Lepisosteus oculatus: one gene and its partners. The protein of the gene in region 3 purifies or fractionates together with the protein of the main gene of each other region. This does not show direct contact. Links are inferred from orthologs where the notes say so. Each region holds a gene or a part of one and is shown on either strand. Other genes may lie near its edges.

What was found. The genes of interacting proteins can lie anywhere in the genome.
Region 1: the proteins of prkaa1 (region 3) and pars2 purify together in Homo sapiens (affinity purification with mass spectrometry; 3 studies listed by BioGRID and IntAct, with this or other methods). This does not show direct contact. The link is inferred for Lepisosteus oculatus from reciprocal best matches to the Homo sapiens genes PRKAA1 and PARS2.
Region 2: the proteins of prkaa1 (region 3) and usp10 purify together in Homo sapiens (affinity purification with western blotting; 3 studies listed by BioGRID). This does not show direct contact. The link is inferred for Lepisosteus oculatus from reciprocal best matches to the Homo sapiens genes PRKAA1 and USP10.

The regions. Positions count from the first base shown.
Region 1 is NC_090704.1:16,909,255-16,917,061, forward strand, and holds pars2 (probable proline--tRNA ligase, mitochondrial), read right to left. Parts: upstream 3,258-7,807; 5' UTR 3,125-3,257; exon of another isoform or gene 2,996-3,124; intron 2,166-2,995; 5' UTR 2,142-2,165; coding exon 1,542-2,141; intron 1,257-1,541; coding exon 375-1,256; 3' UTR 14-374; downstream 1-13. UniProt on the Homo sapiens protein: Mitochondrial aminoacyl-tRNA synthetase that catalyzes the specific attachment of the proline amino acid (aa) to the homologous transfer RNA (tRNA), further participating in protein synthesis.
Region 2 is NC_090715.1:10,017,812-10,025,570, forward strand, and holds the start of usp10 (ubiquitin carboxyl-terminal hydrolase 10), read left to right. Parts: upstream 1-4,502; 5' UTR 4,503-4,750; coding exon 4,751-4,771; intron 4,772-7,759. Other genes in the region: marveld3 (MARVEL domain-containing protein 3), read right to left, coding at 566-675, 1,027-1,298. UniProt on the Homo sapiens protein: Hydrolase that can remove conjugated ubiquitin from target proteins such as p53/TP53, RPS2/us5, RPS3/us3, RPS10/eS10, BECN1, SNX3 and CFTR.
Region 3 is NC_090698.1:23,872,044-23,880,611, reverse strand, and holds the start of prkaa1 (5'-AMP-activated protein kinase catalytic subunit alpha-1), read left to right. Parts: upstream 1-5,311; 5' UTR 5,312-5,364; coding exon 5,365-5,461; intron 5,462-8,568. Other genes in the region: rpl37 (large ribosomal subunit protein eL37), read left to right, coding at 553-637, 2,496-2,565. UniProt on the Homo sapiens protein: Catalytic subunit of AMP-activated protein kinase (AMPK), an energy sensor protein kinase that plays a key role in regulating cellular energy metabolism.

The sequences.
Region 1 (7,807 bases), on a different chromosome or scaffold from region 3:
ACATTCAAAAACATTTATTGTTTTAAGTATTTATTAAGGCTTCAAGGCAGAAAGGAAGATTGTAAATCCTCTATGGAACAGTAAAATACCACATTCAAAACATAAAACAAACAGGAAAAAACAGACCAAAACATAAATTTCAGAACCAAAAGCATTAAATTACCTTTGTCTGGCAGGTTCATAAAATTAGAACTTGTGTTGGATCCCCCCTGAATAAAACAGTCAACTCCTATGATGTGTCATAAAGAATGAGCATTGAACCTTCTGACTTGGCAAGAGAGATGTAACAACAAAATCAGAGGTTTTATTCATTTTCATTCTGGAATAACCAATAACTGACCACCAGCTATAGCAGGACAATCAGTTTGCTGGTGTCAAACAATTTCCACACCTCTAATGTAGTCTACCACACCTTCTATAGGGAGAAACAAGGTCTCCCCAGTGTTCTGGCTGCACACCTCAAATGTTGGCAGATCCTCCAAGGCACTCTTCCCAGTGACAATCACATAGGGGTACCCCAACCTACTCGCATCTTTCAGTCTTCTACCAATGGTCAGGTGCGTCCGGTCATCCAAGACCACCTCCCCTCGCAAACTAGGGACTGCCTCCACCAGAACCTTGAAGAGGTTCTGTGCCAGTTCTCCTGCCTCATCTGCTTTACTGCCCTTCTTTGGTGGAAGGATGCATATCTGGTAGGGTGCCAGCAAGGCAGGCCAACGGATGCTGTCCTCAGAGGAAAGCACTTCTATAGATGCAGCCAGGATGCGGGTTATCCCCAGCCCAAAGCATCCCATTTCTGCAATTACAGGTTTATTTTGCATGTTGTTATAGGAGGCACTAAAGATGTAGGAGTACTTAGTTCCTAGATAGAAGGTATGCCCCACCTCAATGCCCTTTGTCTCTGATAGTGTGCCCCCTTTGCACTCTGGGCAGTATCTCAGTCCTTGATCTATCGTCTCCATGTTGGCAGAAAAACCACAATCGCCACAGATCAGCAGTCTGTCTTCGCCAATCTCTGCAGGAATCTGGAACTCATGCGAAAGTTTGCCCCCAATATGACCTGTGTCAGCCTGCACCTTGACACAGCGCAGACCCAAGCGGGCAAACAGGCGGGTGTAAGCTTCGCACACAGCCTGGTAGGTGCGGTGGGCGGCTTCCTCACATGTATCAAAGGAATACATGTCTTTCATGTAGAACTCCCGCCCACGCAGCAGCCCAAACCGCGGCTTTGGCTCATCACGGAACTTTCGCGTCACCTGCAGGGATAGGCATGAGGTCACAACACATGATGGCCATAACAGAACATCATCAACATCACAGCTGAGAATCTACAGACTAGAACGGGTTCTATTCTGTCACAATTTCATATAAAGTTAACAAGGCTCATGCACCACTTGCATAACAGCAAGAGGGCATCATAAGGCAAATACAAATAATGAAACTATCATACAAACTGCAAATAATGACTTACATATACAGCCACGACTATATATTCATATGGATTCCCTAGCCCCTCAATCAACAGCACTCCGTGACTGTACCTGGTAGAGCAGCAGGGGGAGCTGCCTGTAGGAGAGGGTGCCATGTGCGGCAAGCAGCTCGGTAATGGCCTCCTCATGTGTGGGCCCCAGACAATACTCCGCACCATGCCTGTCCTGCAACCGGAACAACTCTTTGCCCATGAGATCCCAGCGCTCACTGCGCCTCCACAGGTCAGCTGCACAAAGACTGGGCATGTCCAGCTTCTGCCCACCTATGCCCTGCATCTCTCTATCGATCAGCCGCACCAGCTTCTCCATGGCACGCACAGTCACCGGGAGGAGATAGTAACAGCCGGGGTTGGATGGGTGGATAAAGCCTGACTGCAGCATGAGACGCTGGCTCTTACAGGCCATGCTCTCCCCCTGTCGGCCCCCAAGCCCCAGCCCCAGTTCTCTGTCCCTCTCCTCACGCAGGTTGGCTGGCTGAAAGAGCTTGGATACCAGCAGAGGTCTGGCACTGCTAGTCATATTTCTCATGTTGGTTCTTTGCATGCTCAGGAACAGGCACACACAGCCACGTTGGGGCCACGTGGACTGAGGCAGAGTCCGAGTCAGGCAGTACCGTAGCTTGCCAGGACATCGCCGAAACAGAACTTCCATTATACACACAAAATTATCCACACGCTGGGAAAGAAAGAAAATTGTTTGGTTTAATAGCATTTCATCTTCATCATTAGGGCTATGTTCAGCTGACACTTAACTGTACGAGTGGAAAAAAACTACTGGAACCTGTACTTTAAGAAAAGTAACAGTTATTAAAGTTTCATATTTGAAGGGCATTTGCTCAATTTACCAGTGATTCTGTATTTTAAAGCTTTGATATTATAGATGCACATAAACCTAAATTGAACAATAATATAAGCTTAGTAAATGAGTCAATGTATGAGACAGTATTACACGAGCCAAAGCTCAACATATAGATCAGTGTGCTGAATATAGATTCTATCTAAAAAGCTTAATAGTATCTGAAAGACTACACTAAATGTAAAACACTCCTGCAGTGATATTCAATCGATCCAAATCATTTTCAACATTACAAAGAAATAGTTTTTACTGATCATTCATGTTACCGTTCAGGTTTTTTCATCTCGTCTTTTTTGGTCAGTGTGCTAGGGTAAACTAAACACTTTGAAATAACAGCAGTTTTTTTTTTAATTTATTGCTATTTGTTTTTTAAAAAGTTATCGTTTTTCACAAAATTACGGAGCCCTAATTCACAGATCATTCACAACAGGACTCTAAGGTCACCACGACACATCGCGAGTGTTAAATATTTGAAATAATTAAACACACACATAAAGTGCAGTATATATCACCGCGTAAACTAAATCGACATGACTTCCTTACTATAAAAGCCGAGACATTGTGTATATACTGTACACGTGAAGAGTTCAATAAAACTGGTAACTAACCCATACGATAACAATAAAAAACACTTTAAGAATTAAACTTACCAAACCAAGTGGGGGATACAACAAAAAACAGATTGCACACAGTTATACTATTTAAAATACCAATAAGCTGCATACAATATTTCCTCAGTATCTATGGGACACTTTCGTTAAAATCACTGGCAAACCCACCCCAGCCACAAGTTGGTACAACCACCAACAATACAACGAGCACCGAATAGGGACAAAATAGTTGGCGTAATGTTAGAACGCATTTTTCTAGCCATCCTTTTGAGAGTAGAGCTTCACGCTACTGTAACTCTATGCTAGCAACATTCAAACTTCCGGTCTAAGAAACGTATTTCCGGAACATATGATATTATGCAGCTGTGAAAATGCAATTTTTTCCCTAAAGAGCAAAATAATAAAATAAATATTTATTATATATTTATTATATTATTAACACCATTACAACTTTAAATTTTATCCACCCCTATGACTACTCAAAATGTATTATTCAGTCAGAATATAAACAGCAGGTACCAAAAGGGATTTATTCATGTAGAGCTTCCTCTAAAAGTTGTTTCCCAGAATGAGGGATTAGACTTCGGTACAATTTTACTTGTTATAGCCCTGCATTTTGGGACAGTATTGGGGGATTTTTAAATTCATAAAGAACTATGAAGCAAATGTTAGATTATGAAATTTCTGTATTTGTCCAAAACGTTAAAAGAGGAGAAAGGTTTTCACAATAACACCAAACCTGTTCAGATAAAAAAAAAATCTATATCTGTAGTTTTACTCCAAGCATCCCTGTGAGTATTTAACTCTGAAAACACAGATTGCTATTTTCAGAGGTGCTGGTAGATTTTCAATGGTAAAGCCTCTGACAGAGACATTCATTTCAGTACCGCAATGTTCTGTAAAGCGCATTTAATGAAACAAGCCAAGTGAACTGTGTAGGAAACAATTAAGTGGTAAAACTGGTCATAAGCATGGACTGTATATATTCAGTCTTTTCCTCAATTCTACAATCCTAAAGCAATTATCTGAATTTCTTTATGACACTTGTGTTATCTTGGGAAACAAATGTAAGTGTTTTAGTAAATAAATGCCTATCAAACGTAAAAGGCAGACTAAAAAGTATAAACATTTCTAGTGAAACAGTTTAAAATATACAGTGCATGAGAATTCTAAAGATTTGAGAACTGTAAACTTGACATTACATTGATTTTATTAACAAAAAGCTGCAGCTTTTTCTTCATAGCAGTGATCTTGTCAGACACGTCAAAAATTGTTACAGAGAGCCCCTGCCGTCCCATATTCAGCTCATTCAAATGTGAGAATATACAGCTGGTAAAATTATATTACAATTTTATATATGTTTATATATAATATTATGTAATTATATAATATTATATAATCATAATTGGGTCATCAAATAGACTTGCCAAGGGAAATTGCTGGTCATGCAAAAACAACTGTACCTCAGAGTGCAGTTCAAAGAGCCTCTTGAGCACTTTGCCACTTGATTACCATCTCACTTCAGTATGTAGCACTTCACTGCCCATTTCATTACAAAGCACACTGAACACTGATACAATTCACAACTTTAACAGTAGAGTCTAACACAGATTTTAAATCCTCAGTCATTTTCCTGACAGCCAAAGCTTCGCAGTGGATGATGCAGTGCGTCCACTTCATATCTGGAGCAACCTCTGTAATTATTGCAACTACTCCTGCTGTGTCAACCTGGAATTGCTCTAGCACAAACATTGCATTACTCTAGTACAAACTCTGACGCATTTTTCCAGTCGACGCCATTCTCTTAGATAAATTCATTCAGATGCTGATAGATGTGTTCTCCTGAAGCTCTTGGCGTCTATTCTTTTCAGCCATGACATATTACTTGATTTTTGCGAGGTATTCATTTTCGATTAAATGTTCTGTTGGCGAATGTGGTGCTGTTGGAGAAATTTGTCCCCTTTTCCTCTTAAAAGACGGGAGAGTCTGTCCCAAAAGTTAAAAGAAGGTTTTATTTCATACGCATGGAGCGAAACACAAGAGATGCTCGGTGTACTTTTCTCAAATTGACAAAGAACAGTCCTTAAATATTTTTCTGTTATCTATCAACCTTTCCTGTGCTTACAAGATTAGCACTATTCCAAAGTCACGCACATTCTCCTACCTTTCTATTTGCTAAAGGTAATTTATTTTAATACAATTGGTCACTTAGGTTCGTAGCATGCATTCCTATACAATGGTATAGAATTACATAGTATCTCTTGTTCCACTCAAGTATTAGCACACGCTGCATCTTTGTAGCTAACTACTTGACACATAACTGTCACGATCCTCCTCTTAAGGGCGCTCCAGCCCTTCCTTGTTCTGTCCTATTCCCCACAACTGATCCTTATTCCGGCCCCTCTTTAGTTCCACCTTTAAAGCCAGACGCAGGCGTTTGCCCGGCGCTTCTCATTGAATCCCGTTTCGTGAGAGCCCGGGGTCCTGCCGCATCTGGCTCCGTTATGGTTTTAGTTTCCTGTTCCTGATTCCTTGTCCCGCCGGTCCCGACCCGGTTCTGTTTTTTAACTACTTTGGATGGATCCCCTGGTGTTGGACTCTGCTTCCCATTTTGGATTTCCCTGTTGGATTTATGCTTGGATTGTTTGCCCGGACTCACTTCCCCTGGACACCTGCTCACCTCGGACACGCCCCCCTGTCTCCTGACCCACTCCTGCATGATATTTTTCCCTATTGTTTCTTTACCTTCTGGATCGTGTCATCCGCATAGGGCCTGGATAGAACTGTTCCTGACAATAACTACATAACTGCGTATTTGATACATAAACTAATTACTTTATTAAAATACAAAATATTAAAACCCGTCCCAATTTTTCAGTGCACACAACAAATTTCAAGGGACATCTGGCGTACCACCTGGGGATGCTCTGCGTACAACCAGTGGTACGCGTTCCAGTTTGAGAACCATGGAGTTAAGTTATCTAACTTCCCAACATCACTTAACTCTTGATTTGAAACTGTATTAATGCAGAAAAAAACACAGTTTGTAGTTGTACAGGTTTCCACGAGGTTGTATACAGTACATGTCCTGATATACTTGTCCTGTTTTTGCCTAGAGTGCAGCATGACACTGTCTTTTGAACAACGGTAGGCACTGCATGGACTGTTTACCATAGGATATGTGATGGACAACAGCAGTACAATTTGAACTCCATTGTCTGCCATTCAGGAAAATACATCTCTAAAGAGGGTCAATTTTGGTCCATATTGAAAAATAAGAATCATTCCAAAATTTTTGCAAGCAATTTGGAAATTTTAGATCTAATGAGGAAGAAACAAGTGGAGTATATTACTTTTTTGAAAGGTCCATATCATTTCAGGACAACAGCAAGGATAATAAATTACCATTCATCTTTCTCGTTATCATTTGCAAATGAAGATTTGTAAATGGCCAGATGCCCTATTCATAAACACTCTTCAACAACTAGAAGAAGAAAAATATGTTCCAGCCTTGTTTCTTTCAGTTATAGCCCATGGTTTCTCTGCCATGGTTGAAATTGATACATTTAAAAATAATCTTTCTGCATGTTTTCTTGCAGATGACCTTTTATATGCCAGCAAGTGTCCGTCTTTTTCTTGCATACAGTAAGTGTCCATCTTTTCGAAGCAGCAAGATGGAAGTAGTGTGAACTATATGTCTCCCAGTTTGTCAAAAATATTATTTTGGCAAATGTGGATTGCTCTGCATCTCCAGAAAATGAGAGACACTATATTATTTGAATTACAGTCTCAGGATGTTAAATTGATCACCTAGAAAACAAATAGATACAGATAAAACATTCTTATCAACATATTTTCCAAATCACAAATAAATCAAGAATTATACAGTATCAACAGAGACTGCAACTTAGGTGATCACTGCCATTACTTGTTTGTTTTCCCTTTTATCATATTGTTGTTATCCCTTTTAGGTTTTTTAGAATTAATCTGGATCATGAACAGAAGACCCAAGATAAAGAAAAAACCTGCTCTCCAGACCTGTTCTATATTGTGTCCTGAAATTGAAGAGGATAAAGCATTGTACACCACAATAAATGTTATCTGTAACCTTTACTTTTAATTTCAGATTAGTTTATTGAATTCCGCATATTTCAAATATGTTTCATGTCTGCTGTACCAAAGTTACACCATTGCGACATAAATGTGGCAGACCTGAGACAAGATTCTATTCTTGGGGGCCTTGTATTTTACCCCCTTTGTTTTTGCAGCAATGGCACTTATATGGGTGACTGGGTGTGTTTGAAGCCCAGCAATGGTAAGTTTGTAAAATGATTCAGAGACCATAGTATTAATTATTTTAGTAGTTGTCAAAATTTAACCTTACTATGAAATTTGGTGTAGTTTGTTGTTTTCCTTTTATATAAATTCAAGAAATTTGTTTTTACAATAAAATATCAAACATAATACAATTTGATTATCTAGGTTTGAGGTATTTTTATTCTGAAATGCTCAGTCTGTTCTCTGACAGAAACCTGTTTGCATTGAACACAGAAGATCATGAAGACAATACAAGTTAGAGTTGGTCTTCAAGCCTGGTAGAGGAAAGAAGTGAGGTACAGTTATTAATAAAACAAACAGGTACACAGAGCTACAGAGTCCAAAAAAACTTGGCATATTGGAAGAACTGTTTTTCTATAATTCAATGTGAAAAATGTAATGCAGCTCCTGGAAGATAGTGAATCATCCATCTAATGGTGGATGATGGATGAATAATTCTTTCAAACATCAAAAACACCATAACCAAAAGCAACATCAAACAACCAGGATGATTCTGGAATTTTTGTACACTGC
Region 2 (7,759 bases), on a different chromosome or scaffold from region 3:
TGCATCTCCTTTTAGAGAAATCATGTTATGTGCTTTATCATAACAAAAGGTTAATCTTTCACAAAAATTATAACAAATTCCTTTCAGTCCTCTGTTGCCACATATAGCAGGAATACCACCTTTCCAGAAAATATTAAGATTCACATCTCCTGTAATTAATGAACAAACTGCTTTTCTGATTTGAGAGCACACATTATAACAATAAGCAGGGAAATATCTTTTATACAGTATATCAAGATCAGCCTTTGAGAATATCCAGTATAATAACCATACATACACAAAGGCTAGGTCTGAAGCTAAGATTATTCCTTCTTTCTTACATTGATTTTTTTTTCATTTTTCAGGATTATGATTAATTGGTCATATTGGATTTTTAACCAAGTCACAATGCAAGGACACTTACTGCCATATTCTGTATTTGAAACCCTACCTTCCTCAATTCAAATAATTATGAGCAGGATTATTAACCCTTTGCTTTTGTAAAATGTCACCAATTAAAAATGAGGTTTAAAGTAGTTTGCATCATGGATTCTCTTTTAAAAATCGCCTTCATCATGACACTCACCTCTAGAGGTAGGAATATATTTGAAGTTGTAGCAGCCACGAAGCCCACTGGATGGCACTGATTCATCATAACTCATTTCATCTGGAGGCACTGAGGGTCCCTGATGTGACCTGTGTTTAAAGTAAGTAACGATGAGCACTGAAGAGAAGAAAACAGGCCCGGCTCTTACCTCACCTGCTACTGCAGGAACAACAGAGCAATGGTAACCAAGTTATAATGTTTTCGTACACTTTATATACAGGAACTGGGCCAAAGCACTGTCGGACCAACAGATTTAGGATCTTTATAGAAAGTCCAGACACCTGGGAGGGGAGAGTTGTGGGTCAGGAAACAGACGAAAGGTTTACACCACCAGCTCCAGCCTCTGAGTGTAGACTCAGACCACTTCAGCCATCTTCAGAGTTTTCCCACTGTGGTTTTGTTTTGACACCTCAGGAAAAAAAGAGTGAATTTTCCGTTACCTTTCTTCCCTGTAGGAAGGAGGCTGGTCCCTTTGAAGTTGCGGCCCTCCGGAGCTGCGGGGATTCCTGTCCTCCCGTCTGTCAGGATAATCCCGGTCTCTCTTTTCCAGGTAGCTAGGATCCCTGTCATCCCAGTACTGCGGGTGTCTCTGGTCTCTGGCGTGCCGGTACCTCTCCCTCTGTCTGTCCATATCACGGCGAGTGCCACTTTCGCTCCTCGTCTTGCTCTGCGGCTCCTCATCTCTTCCAGGATTCCTCCCACCTCCCGGCATCTTATGATCTGTGAGTTCCGTGAATGTACTGTATGCCCTGTGGATCGATGAAGGGGCAGAGAACAGCTCAGAGAGAAAAACAAAAGTAACGCACCACTTATACAGTAGCTGCAACAGTCCCACAGTGGTAGCAGGAAAACGGCAAAATCATTTTCGTGGCAGGTGTGCCAACACTTAAGTGAGCAGCCAAGACACAGGTGAAGGATATCAATGTACCACAGTCAGTCATGACGGATGCTAAATCATAATTACGCCAGAATGCTTTAAGTAATATCCAAAAATACATATTATCCATGTTCTATACTATGTGTTTTTTTTAAAAAAACATGCAGAGAGTGATTTTTATACTCGCATATAAATATTACATAGTGCTGCAGTGCTGTGCAAATACTTTATTAAATGCTGATGCTTTTTAAAACTAACATGCTCATGCTTTGCCAAATTTAACAGGTCTTAGAGCTTAAAGTTAGTTGTGAGCTGCAGGGTAATATAGCCCACTGAAGCTCAGCAGGTACTGGCCAGTACCTGGATTGGACACCTCCGGGGAAAGCTAAGGCTGCTGCTGGAAGAGGGGTTAGTGGGGCCAGTAGGGTGCGCTCACACTGCAGTCTGTGTGGGTCCTAATGCCCCAGTATAGCGATGCTTACACTATACTGTAAAAAAGATGCTGTCCTTCAGATGAAACTTAAAACCAAGCCCCTGCCTCTCTGTGGTTGTTAAACATCCCAGGGAGTTTCTCGAGGAAAGTAGGGGTGTCACCCCCAATAACCTGGCTTAATTTCCCAGCGGCCTTTACCAATCACGGTCTCCTAATAATCCCCATGTTTGAACTGACTTTATCACACTGTTCTCCTCCTCACTGAGAAGTGGAAGTCCCAATTACCTGAAAAGAGCTTTGAGTGGCGTGTCCAGAAAGCGCTATGTAAATATAAGGATACTATTATTAAAGCAGCGTGTAGTTCTACTAGGTGAATACAAAGACTTTAAGCATAGTTCTTCGTAACTAAACGTAATCTACACATTGGACCATAATCATATGTAGTTCGAGTAGATAGCTGCGTCAGCATGCGTAGGATACAAAGAATAAGTAAAGATTTAGTCCATGCTGAAAAGAGATAAAAAGAAACAACGTTTCAAGATGTTGAGCCTCCTACAGGTGTGAAGGGTGACGTTTTCAGCGTGGAATAAACCTTTACTTGTTTCATTGCATAATCATAATATTCTTGTTAAAAGTGTCAAAGTAGGCAAAGAGTTACGCCTGCATCTAATAGGGTTAGTAACGAGTTTCACTGGTTTTGGCCACCATCACCCTGTATGTATATACAATTACTTTGCGATTTTTTATTTTGCGTATTTTATACTGATTTATGAGCACAGCTTACCCTCAGAAGTCAGCAAAAGAAGTTCCAGTGCTCCATCCCGGGCTGTGTTGTACAAATAGCTCCGGTTACCGAAACCCGGTTTGATGCGCCTCTCAGCCGAAACTGGTTGACCGGTCAGTAGTTTCCCAGTAATTCGCTAACCCTCGAAACAGGACTTGAGTTGAGAAATAACTCGTGTATCTTTCAGAGGTCAAATAAAGAAGTTGGAGGTCTTCAGTTCGACCTAAATGGTTTTCGGACTCAAGTTTTCAAGTCAGCATCACAAATACCACAACTTCCGAGTACGCAACATAACAAAGAAAGCGAGGTTTTGTGGTACTTTGTTTTATTTTTCGTCGTGTTGTTGACGAAACATGGACATATCTGCCTCGAGTGACCAGGTTAAATCCATCGACAGTGCACAACTATTGTATTTTGATGTTTCACATCCGCCATTAATTTTCAAGGTACACTTTGTGCGTAGCTCCGACACCACGATCCCACACACACATACACATACACACCTCATACCTGAGCTCACAGCTTGACTTCCCAAACGGAGAACCCCGCCTTTAAAAACTCGTTTTTAACTGGTCGCAGCGCGACTCACTGTTTTAGGAAGTAATTAGTATTTACTTTAAATAGCAAATATTTGATAAGGCAATATAAGAAGTATGTTAATCTACGTTCAATGTTGCAGAAACAGTTTTAATCGCTCTTGCAAATGGCATTATTAAACCTCTAGTTTTCACGATGGATTTCGATTTGATCATATTCGTGAGGTATAACTATAATTTTATGGCTACAGCTAATGAACAATGAATAAAAAACAATGAAAATGTAAACCGATAGGGTGTTCACAATTAAAAAAAAACTCTATAGAAACGTCTCTGTCTCGTCATCAAAACAGAAAATTCGGTTTTGACCACTAAATCGGTGTGGATCCAAACTGCATACATTTCCACAGAAAGAATCTCACAAAACATCAGAAAAAAATGGTCTTTAACCCCGTGATCTGCACAACTCATGAGGAAGCCAAACTGTGTGAACACATCCATTCCAGTTGCTGCTGGGAAAATTGAACTCACTGGTATTTTCAACTGCAGGAGCAGGACGCCTATCATGTAAAGGGGGGAAATCAGTTACTATTGTAGAATTTAAATCAAGTGATGTTACAATTGTACAATTCATTGTACGGTTATTGGTCACATTGCAAAACATTATTGCTGCTCTTGAGTCAGTCCAGAGAATGAAAAAGTCAAGTCTTGAGTAGAGCAGTACCAGATTCAGACATTCAAATTCTTAAAAGATGTTGATAAAGTCAGCCTATTGGACTTTTTCAGAATCGACAGTGAAAAAAAGACAGGATCACAAGTGGGAACTGCTAGGAAGGGTATTTGAAACCGAGGAATGGAGGCACGAATTTACACAAAGGGTTTCCCGTGGCACAATAACAGTTGTGTTGTTAATGCAGATACCCTAGCTTGCTTCAAGAAACGTTTGGATTAAATCTTGGCAGGAATTATCTACTAAAACATCAGCTAGCTTGGACCAGTCCCGCTAGCTTGTGGTCATTTTAGATTTCCTCTGTCATTTTAGGAAGAAATGATTGTTCCTGAATACAAAACATGCAGAGTCATGCATTAAAGACAAGTGTGCCATGTCTCCCCTTTCAATATATTTCCCAAACCGCGAGCGTGTACCCATGTGCTGTAGGTGTAAGGGGCCCTTTCGCCTCCGCTGGCGCTGGGCATGCGCAATGCGGTGCGCGTCCCCGCGTTTCTCCGCCTCCCACCCAGGGCGCACGCGCTCACCGCGGACTCAGTCAGGCTCTCAAGCGCGCGCAAGCCAGAAGCAAGGCGAGACAAAGATGGCGGCCATGGTGGGGTTAGCAGCGTGATGGGCAGGAGGAGGAGAATACAACCTTAACGTTATATACTCTAGATTAAAAAAAAAGAAACTACATTGAAAATGTCGCAGTAGAAATTGATTTGTTTTTAAGTCAAAGACCACATTTCAGCTCATCCCTGGAGAAGAGGAAGTTTATTTTCTTTTTTAATTGTAAAAAAAGAAAAGAAACTCGCCGGGAGCATGGCTTCACACAGCAGCCAGGTAAAAACTGTTCTTCACTCTGGTGTTCCGAGTCGTAGGTACTGCAGCGGGCCTCGGAGACGCCACGGCTCATGCTGGCATGCGTGTGAGTGCTTTGGCTGTTGCAAAGTGCAGCTTTGTCATTGAGAAGTGGGCGAAAAAAAAATTGCAAGGCGAGTTTCCCCGAGCACGGGATGCCTGCTTCCCCCATTGAAACCCCAGCATGGACGAGGCCCAGAGGCAGCCTCACTCATTCATAGACGAGAGCTCCCGAAGAGCGGGTTTAAGTCCTGCGCTCAGAAATCCGACCCGTGCCGCCGTGTCGACCCAGCCCCGGTTGCATCTCAACACGTGGATGTTTGCCCCACTCGGGTGGTTTTGCATTGCATTTCGAGATGGTTTAGCTGGCGTGCTCGGCCCAACCTGCACCGCAACAGGCCTCGGCGAGCTGAGAGCCGCTTTCTTCCGCGGTGTCAAACAGCGCGCTCGGGTAAAAGTCACCCTCGCCGTCAGTGAGTTGTGGTGCACGACCCGTTTTTGTCCTGACTGGGGGTTTCTCCCCCCCTCTGGAGTCGGTTTTTAATTCATTTAAAGTGTGAAACGGTGCATCCGCTGGTGGCATGCATTGGGCCTGTTGATCGGGGAGGGGGGGCGGTCTTGTTTTTCCGTGTTAGGAGACTCATCCAGTGTTGTATGAAGGAGAGCGCAACGGGACTTGCAATGGACATTTTTATAACTCGTTTGTCGCTCTTCAGTGCAAATGCACTTTACTTTGAAAAGGACGCCTGCGTAACGTGTTTGGGCCTGTTCATCATTTAGATTCTCATCGCAGCCTTGCCTCCACTGTTACCCTATGAAGCCGAAATAAATTTGAGGAGTAGCCGTAGATTTTGGGCCCCCTATCTTTTTTTCCCCTAAGGCGCAGAGACTATTCTAGCTGTGCTTTTATATTGTAAGAAAACGACACGAAAATCGGTGATCGGAGAGAAATTTAGAAGCATGCAGGAATAATGTGGAGTGCTGGCTAACTCTGGTGGGAATACCGGATGATAACTATACTCATGGTTTTCCTAGCTTTGGGAGAAGTAGCTGAAAGACCTTTAAGAAGTTTCGGTACCTGCGGTTTCTTAGGTTTGGTGGCGGAGCAGTCGTGGGTTGAAGGGTGAATTTGTGATAGCAGGCGGTCTTGAGAAGTAGAATTGTACCACAAAATGCTGATAGGTCGTAGACAACAAAGTGTAGGCATTTGAGTGTCCAGCGTAAGTTTGAGGAAAGCGTGTTTTTTTGGAATTGCTAGATGCAGGAAGCGGTGTGTACTTAAGCTCTCGGATACTTGCGAGTTTGGCGTGTATAATATAGCATGATTTTGATAGTGCAAGCTATTAATGTATCGTTCTTTCTCTTTCTTTTGCTTAGCTACATCTTCGCGTTTATAGTTTCAACTTGGGCAGCGCGTTACGAGGAGTTGTAACGGGAACATTGAAATTCAGCTGAATCATAGGCGCCCATCCCCCTACCAGGCAGCATTTTTATACTGAGACCACTGTGAGCTGCTCGACGTAGGAACACATTTGCATTGACTTTTTTTCAGTATCACGAGAAACGTACAGGTGGTTTAGTGTTTTTTTTTCTCTCCCGGCTTGAAAGCTGGGCGGTTTGTGCCGCTGAGGTGGTGTGTAGTGCTTTAAAACTTCAGAGTGCGGCTTCCATTCAGGACACTTGACACGTGATGCCGCTCAAGTTGTTGAAACTTACAAAAAGGGATGCATTGCTTTATTGTAAATCGTTTACGGAGGACGTAAAATCTTATTTTTGTTTACTGCAGTTTTAACTTGAGTTTAAATCGGTTGTCCTTAATTAGTATAAACCTAGCATGTTTCGCGTACTTAGTAATTGTGCCCAGACCGGTGGGGTGTTCAGTTTTCAGAGCACAGGGGGAATCCGTATTTAATATCAGTGAAGAGATCATGATGAGGTGTATTTGAAGAAAATGTGTAATACGTTTAAGATGTATAGATTCGGAACTACCAATGCACTTCAGAAAATCTGCATTGTTAAAAGCTTTGTGCATTTTCTGACTTTTCAAGGACACAGTATACCCCCGTGCGTGGATACTGTGGATGTTTCTTTTTAACTAGATGCTTTTGGTCATTTCCTGTACTTGCATCGGTTTGGCTATCAGGACATAAAGGAAAACGCTCTGTACGCTAACTTGATAGATATTATCTGCCTTTCGCTTTGCCAAGTTTAAAACAGCGAACGAGGTTGCCCTACCAGTTTTTGGAAGTTTTACCTCAGCAAAGAAATTTAAATTGTATAAATGCTCGTTTTGTATTCCAGCTTGCCTATGACATTTCTATTTGACTTACCTTTTATTTGCTGTATTTCTTTTTGATGTTAAAGAATGCTTATGGTCTTTAATTGCATGATGGTGTATACAGCATTATGCTACCAGACACCATGACAGTCCATGTGGATTGGGAAGACTTGCCTGGAGTTTAGAGCTTATCGTTGTAGTTCACACTGTCTGTTGTGGATTTGTTGTAGTGGATCGGTATGTTTTTCATTCAACTTTGCTGCTGTTGGCAGAGAGAGTCAAAGACAAAATATAGTAGTGTGCAAAATAGCTCAGTATTAAACTGATCATGGAACAAGTAATAGGTTTATTCCATGCTGAAAAAAAGAAGAAAGAGAACACAACGTTTCGGCCGTGGAGCCTTCTTCAGGTGTGAAGGCTCACACCTGAAGAAGGCTCCACGGCCGAAACGTTGTGTTCTCTTTCTTCTTTTTTTCAGCATGGAATAAACCTATTACTTGTTCCTTTGCAGCCTACGCATGCTGACGCAGCTACCCACCTGAACTTAAACTGATCATGCTATGCAAGGATGAGCCTGTGTTGCAAAAAATGTTTTGGGTTCTTTTTGGTGTTTAGATGACCTTTGTGACTGTGTGAAGCACAGACTAGTTGTGGGTTTGTTGTATATAATGGTCTTTTAGGGGTACCATTCT
Region 3 (8,568 bases):
TATGCGTTTAGTCCAGAAACAGGTCACTGTCGATGTTGCCCCTGCCAAGACGCAAAGTGGATGCGTTGTACAGTCTTATGGCAGACGGCAAGAATGACCTCCTGTAGCGCTCCCTGTCGCACCGTGGATGAATCAGTCTATTGCTGAACGTGCTCTTCATTCCTGCAAGCCTGTCATAGAGGGGATGGGAGAAGTTGTCCATGATGGCCTCTAGTTATATGTACATTAACAATTTGACATAAATCAGCTGTAATCTTTCACGTATCACCCTGTTTGAGTCTAGCGAGAGAACCAGTTATCCAGCCTCTGTAAAACCATTCTGGATTCTCTTTGTCCCTTTTGCACAACTGCCATTTGACAGGATAGTTCGTCAATTGCTGGTGATGGGAACGCCACCTTAATCAAAGCTGGCTGTACAGCTCATTTGAAGAGACGGACGCTGGAAAGGAGTACATTGTCTTCACATTGTCCTACGTTGTATCTTGAAAAAATTGTTTCATGGGGTTAAGAGTAGATATTAAGACCTTTGGAAAATTTCCTCTTATCTTGCAGACAACTGGAGTGCCAAGGCCAAGAGGCGCAATACCACTGGAACAGGACGCATGAGGCATCTGAAGGTTGTGTACCGCAGGTTCAGGTGAGGATTGTTTGCTTTTAAAATGAGAACAAGGGTGACATCAAGCACAGAGTGGTTCCGAAGAAGCATGTTCTGCTAAATTTTTAAGTGGGTCATGTTAATTGTTCAGTAGCTATCAGGAATTTTAACACGAAAATTTAACATGGTAGTTAAATTGTAAATGTAATTCCGTTTGAAGTAGCCTTATAATCTGCACTTTGCTAGATGGTTTAAAACGACAATCATCTGCTGGAGCTGATATTTTAAATACTAAATCTAGCTTTTAAGTCCAGTTTAAAAGAAATACTTCTCACAACCAGTAGTGTTTTCATATTGCTAGCTATGGATAAACTGGAAAAATAGCAGACAGTTACTGTTAATCGAGGCATCTAGGGCTTTGTTGATGGTAAGGCATCTAATTTGCTTATCACTAAATTTCTTAAGTATGAGTTGCAAACTAAACATTTAAGAAGACCTGTGGAGTTGCATAGGTTTCATTTTGTGAGAAATTAATTTGTTTATCTTGCATAACAAGTGATTGTGCTGTAGATAGAAAGTAAGAGCTTGCTGTAGGTTTGTGACATCTGAGAGGTCAAGCTTCTGCTGTCAAGAAAAGAGCAGGATAAGAATGAAACAAATGTAAGTCAGTATACAGAATTGCAGAGCAGCCATTCATTTCCATCACTGATGATTGTTGATCACTGGCCATATTTTAATGCATAGATTTTACTTTTTGGTGGCATCATGTTTTATGCCTTAGTCAATTTAATGTAGGAAATGTAACAATTAGAAGTTGCAAGATTTTATGCATTCACTTAGACTTAAGGGTCAGTTTTAAAGCATGATGGATATGTATGTAGAATCTTGACCCTTTTCCTGTTCTTTTGCCAATCAGATGCAAACTTTTTATGACATGTAGCTAAAAAGCTATAAGTGGTTGAGTAACATTTTACCATTTTTATCGCACTAAACATAGTACTAAACATACTAGTACTCTTTTACGAACATGTTACTGATGACATTTCATGTGCGTATCTGTCCCGTGACTTTTTGTTGCAAAAAAATAACTTAAGACCGCTGCAGTTCTAAACAGCTTATCAATGATGTCCAAAAATAAATGTCTGAACAAATGACTTTACTGTGATTTCAGATTTTTACTGAGGTAAGCTGTAATAGTCTGCATGTGTAATCACATTGGCTTGTTGAGACTTGGCCACAGCTCTTGTCTTTAAGAGAGGTAGGCTACTGGGTTTAAGGCCGGGGACATGCACATTGCTCCGCCTGGTGTCACTTTGTAATGTGACGCGGTTATCTGAGACACTGGAGCAGCATCTTGCTTTACATCTAAGTGGCACTTATGATTTCTTGCAAAGAAATATCTCAAGCACTGCTGGATAATTATCTAAGCTTATAACCCTATATATACATTAAGCCATTATTTCACATCTAGTAATACTTAATTCCCTGTTGTAACTGTTGAAGTTAATACTTAAAAAAAATATACTTTCATGTTAATTCAGCTCTTCCATTATGTTTTGATATTTGCTTCATGATAGTAAAACATCTTCTGTTGGTTAGTTTCTGATTCAGTGTATAGTCATGTTTCTCTTCTAGGAGAATACGTACAGTTGAAGGTTGAAAAAGTAGGTTTTCCTCTAGAAAGGAACTTGATATCTGGATTTTGGTTAAAGTGTTGCTGTACATCTCAAGGAGCAGAGTGCAGCAATACCCTTAGAAGTTACAAAATATGAGGAATAAAGTAAATTAGGTTTTCATCATAAGAGAAAGTCATAGAACACTAAAGGTCTTGAGGATTTTTGCAGTGATGCTAATGTGTGCCAACTTTGTAGTAACATTATGCTGTGCTGTTTTCTTTCAGAAACGGATTCCGCGAGGGAACAACCCCAAAACCTAAAAGAGCTGCAGTAGCAGCTTCCAGCTCCAGTTAGACAGACTGTTTAAAATAAATATGCTGTTTCAAAGTGATTGTGTTGTTTTTTTCTTCTCTGGTTACAAAGAGGAAACTCAATGGGGATTCATGATTATCAGTAAATATTATGAGTAAATTGGGCTATAGATCTTGAAAATCTTGAATTTGTAAATAGCCCTCTTTATGAATATGTCCTTAAGGAGTAGGCAACAATGAATGATTCTCTGATAACGGTTACTATATTGTGCCATGGTGTAGGCAAAAATGACATTGAGATGAGTGTCCAGAAACAAGCTTTACAAGTGTGAGGAATTATTACGACATACAAAGGCATCGATTCGACAATAATTCAGCTTCCCAATCAACAAATTTCAAGTCTATTACTTCTGATTGGATTGATAAAAATGTGCTTTTCTATTAGATGCATTGAAGATTCCTTAAGGAAATAGAGCAGCAGACAAAAATGCAAGAACCCAAGTGCATTTTGTGACGCATTTGGTTTTGGGCCAGATTGAGCCTGTAACTGAGGGAGTATTCAAACTGTTAAGGCAATTGGCTTTTGCAAGATCATCAGTGAAGCATATCCTGGACCACAAAATGAAACGCATCCAAGGTTCAGGCTAGGAGGTACATCATAATTGGTTGTTAAGACTTAATATGAGCTGTTTGGCTGTGATGGTGAATCTGATGACAACATTCTTAAAACTAGGAGTTTCTGGGAACTACTAGCAGTTAAAGCTGGAGGAGGGAAATGTCTTCATGTTTTGTGTAGTTTCTGTTCTTAAAGGAACAAAGACATTTCCTGGACTGGTAATGAGGGTTTTAAAATTTTATTTTAAAGGTCTGACCTCACTAATACTTATAAAATAGTTTCCATCTTTAACCCATTTTTTCTTATGAAAAGCAAAGAAAAATGGGTGAAGGGGAGACAAAAATTTGCTTTCATAGCTTCTGCATGAGCAAAGAATGATCTACCCATACATAAAACACATTTCTGTAAATAATAAATAAGTGTGATTTAATGCTGTATCAGTCTTCACCTACCTGACTATTTTGGCTGCAGGTAGACCTATGAATGTCACACTAGAAGATTGCTAGGGGTTTGGAAATTTTCATTAAGAAGGGGCAGTCCTGAACAGCTCTGCACCAGTTGTTTCTGAAAGTACAAAAAACCCACGGTCATGGAAATCCTGGATACGTTATGGAAAATGACATTTTATTTTCCACGCCTGGAAAGATTTTGAAAAATGATAAGTTTTGGAAAAGTCAAGGATTTTTTTTTAATTGACCCAATATGATCATGGCTGTATCATATAATTTTGTTCACAAGTTATGGAAAAATGACATTTTATTTTCCACGCCTGGAAAGATTTTGAAAAATGATAAGTTTTGGAAAAGTCAAGGATTTATTTTTAATTGACCCAATATGATCATGGCTGTATCATATAATTTTGTTCACAAGTTAGCACACTTTTAAAAAGAGGATGTGGCGTTGCTGTTGCTAACATTATGCATTATAGTGTTGCATCAGACCCTCTCGCAGGATTTTTATAGTTAAAAGTTAAACAATTAAAACCGAAAATATAAAGCCATCTTATTTACAGAAATCGTATATACAGAAATGTTTTTCCACACGGTGGAAATTTTGTCTTTCACTGGAAGAAAGGTGAATTTCAATATTACCTAACTGATCCAAATACAAATATGAGAAAATGTGTTTTCAGTGATCTCTGGTTAGCAGATGAAAAATACAAGCTCCACAAAGATGAAGACCCAGGACGTGCGAGATGTAAATTATGCAGAAAAAAAGTCAATGAAAAGTTTTGGAACTTTGTTGGTAAAAATGAGTGGGAACCCTGATAAAACCACTGTCACACTCTTATAAGGTAGGAGATGCACCCTTAAAGGTGACATCACAGAAAATGCAGAGGGTGGGTTAGCATCAGATCCTGCATGGAGTGCAGCTCGTTGTCATCCGTCACAAAGGCTTAAAGTCTGTAGCTATCACGCCTTGTTAACAGGCCGGGACATATTTCTGAGTTGCCTTTTATTCAAAAACTTGAACACTGTGGCAGTTCAGATACAACATCACCTTTCTCTCTGTACCTTTTCAGTCAGCTCACATGTAGATTTGGTGATTCTGGCCTTCTCTCTCAGGAGATCAGGCTCTTTACAGTACTTACAGTATACCATATACTGTGGTATACAACATACAGTGGTCCAGCGCCATGTCTGTGGAGCTCATTAATTAAACCATCAGACTGCGACAGTCAGCGTTTTCAAATTTCTATTAAAGCTAATTTTTTCACAAAAGCTTCTGATGTGTAATTCAGTCTTATTCTTCCTTTCACTAAATTAATTTGCTGTGCTTTTTCTTTTTCACTTTCTTCTTCTGTTCTAGTTTGTTGTACAGCGCTTTCAGTCCTAATAAGCAGTCAAAATACTGAATTAAAAAATAAGTGTATATATATGTCCCACCTCAATTAAGAAAACGCGCAAAAGATTAAAGATTCACTTCTCATTTATATAAATTCGTACAATTATACTTATATATAAGAAAACAAATATTGTATATATTTGAGTATTGTAATATGAAATGTCTGCTCTGTTCTCAGTGCAGGTGCTCTCAAAACTGTTAAACACCAACGCAAAAGTGTTGCCCAACTTCAAGCCGCTTGAAATTCGAGGGCTATGTAAAAAAATAACACCATTGCCTCTCTTCTTACGTCACTTCCGACGTCGTGCACTTCCGTTTTCCTGTTTATGCAGCGTCATGTCCGTCTGCCTGCAGCAGCGCAGGTAGGGCTTCTGCGGGAAGATGGCGACGGATAAACAGAAGCATGAAGGGAGAGTGAAGATTGGACACTACATTCTTGGGGATACGCTTGGTGTAGGAACCTTTGGAAAAGTTAAAAGTAAGTGTGATGATGTGATGGTCAGGATATCTGGATGGGAAAGGCGGTTAAAACAGGAAGGCAGTAGTCAGCTGTCCTATGTGCACTGAGAAGAGTTGCTGAACAACATTGCATGTTGCAATTTGCAGTATCTGTTGCTGTGCATGTTCACTTCAAACTCCCAGAAGAAAATAGCACCGTTTTCATGTGCATGTTGGCGGAGTTGTGTGTTGATTGATTACTGCTCTTTTTGCCTGTCCTCTAATGAAATGTTAGCTTGCTAAGTGGCTGATGTCTCAGCCTTGTGAAGTCAGTAATGGCTAATTTATGTCATTTTTAGTCGAACGTTCCCAATCGTTAAAACAGTGTCAGTGACAAAACTAAGCTGTGATTTGTAAGCCACGCCACTCCTCAAGTTAAAATTGTTTTTAGTTTTGGCTAGATGCGTAACTTAAATTTAATAAACTTTTGAACCCTTTTAATTTCTGTAGGTGTTTTAGAGGTTGTTAATTTCATGTTATCTTAAAAATAATCAAAATGTGGTGTGAGCAGTTGCGGTAGCATCTTTGTGTCACTCTGTAACGGAAAATATTGATTTCTAATGGAAAATACAGGTGCAGAAGCCGAAGAAGAAGTTTGACATCTAACGCGGTTTTTAATGATTTTTTTTTACAGACGGTGTAGACTGTTATAACCTCTTTAATTTTTGCAGTCGAAATCAAAGTTAAGTATGATTAAACTAGCACTGCATAGGGTATTCACATTAGACTTGATTATAATTCGTGGTTATTTGCAAGTTGATGAAAATTTCAAAGAATACCGTTATAAAGTCTACTTTGGATTCCAGCATTCACTTTTGATGTTAAGTTTTATGCCAAATAATAAGGAGTTGGAATATTGATGGTTCTTGAAATGTTTAAGCGACACGACCATCTCTGGTTCACTAGGTTATTAAAAGTTTAATTGAAAAATATATTAAAGATAATCTTTACTTTTATTAATATAGACAAACTATTAAAGGATAACATTACAGGAGCGTCTAGTTGATATTTACAATCTTGAATTTCCATGAAAGCTTTCAAAAACTACATGAGAGGTCTAAATGAATAAATGTTCTTTGAATGAAGATTTCATATATGACAATGCTAAGGCTAATGAAATAAAAATCAGTCTGGAACTTTCAGTCTTATGCAATGTAAGTTTTCTCAGTTCATTTACTATTAAAACTTAATATAAATAGAATATGAATCACTCTCTTCTGAAAGGTTTATAACCAAGTCTTTGCTTTCTGCAATGGTGGAGAAGTTGCATTTTCTGTTGTTTGTAAACCTCATTTGTGCCAACATTGCATTCTATAAAACCAACTCTCAATTTACATATAACAACTTTTTGAATATTTCAAATGAATATTGTCTGGACTACCAAAAGCGTTTCTAGGTTATGCTGTTACAGTTGGGGTCTATAGACCTGGTTTTTATTTAATGTAAATCTTGATTATGAATTGAGCTGGACATGGGTACATTATTGAGCAAAAAGTCAGTTTTTATGTTCAGTTATTAAATTCTCTATACATGTCCTTGACAGCAAAAGGTTTCTATTTTCAAGTAACTGAGATGGCAAAATGTACTCAGCACTTAAAATTCTTATCTTAGTGAAGGCCTGTGTGTAATGTATGCAGCAAGCATTGAATTGCTCTGCAGTGCTTTGACTTACTACCTGTCCAGTGTAGTTGTCCAGTGAACTGGAACGCTTTGTTGATTCTCTCTTATTTATGTATGACTTTGGGGGCTATATCTAATGTTTCCAAGGCAACCCTGAGCCATTGGCAGTTCCATGGCTACCCTGAGACATTGTTAATCACAACTTTATCTGTTAGTTTCAGTGTTGTGTCTCACGGCTCGTAAAAGGTATATTTTCTTCTAGTTTATGTGTTGAAAACTGTAGTTGCATGTGGAGTTGTTCAAATTGTAGAAACCGAGTCTTTGTCCTGTATTTGTTTCAGTGAAGTCTATTTTTATTTTACCCCAGAGCACAACCCTGCAGAATATTACTTACTTTCAAAATTAGGCTTAAATGTGTGACAGTTAATTTTCAGTGTTTTTTTTACAAATTATTATGACTTAATCATTAAAACTGGTAGATTTGAAAGAATGAAATGAGGCTAGGCTAATGGGTTGTTTTCAGGAAAGATGGCCTTCGGTTTTTCTGCTTGTGTTCTACTGGCAGTTTTTGCATCCTTATGTCATATAGTTTTAGATATTTAAGACCAAGTCTTACTTATATTTATGTTTTTCCTGTACGCTGTTTTGAAGAGGCAACATTACTGTGCGATGTTAGCAGTTATTCTAACAGCAGAAATGGAAGGCCACCCAACATAATCAACAGAGAAGCATTAACTTGTGCTGCTGCTGATGATTTGTGAAAACTGAGGTGCTCTTTAATCCCAAGTAGCCTACTGGCTTTGGTTTAAAAGCAATCGGCCTGAATACTAGAACATTCTCATTACGTAAAACTTTCTCAAGCACTTATATTAAACACGTTAATTAGCATATAACAAGCAACTTAATTATAATTTAGGGTGGGAAACCTAAGTAGAGCTTAGTCATAATGAATATGCACTGTTTCAAAATGTTTTATACTGTATATAGCCTATGTTTTTGGAGAATTACATATTGCATTCCCCTACTCTGCTCACACTATCACTTGAATCCTTATGAATTGTGCGCATTAACCTAAATGATTAATCCAAGGAAGATTTATCATGGTCTTGGGGATTGCATCATCACCTAGTCATTATTAAAAAGTAATCACAATAGGGTTTTTGTATTCCTTTAAAGAATATCTGTTTTGCTTACCAAGGACAGCTGAAAGACTGAAGATAATGCTTCTGACTGTTTTTTATGCTGTAAGTTGTGGTGTACAATGTACTACTACAGTTAGCTTGTGCTACAGCATTAAGATTTACAAAGGGACTTTTAACAAAAGTTTTTGGACAGGATAATTGGTTTCTGGGAAAATTGATATGAGTGTGTGCATCTGTGTCTGGTCTGCGATGGACTGGTGTCCCGTCCAGGGTGGATTTAGGCTCCTTCCTGTTGATTGTGGATGGATCAAAGTGTTAGGCAGTT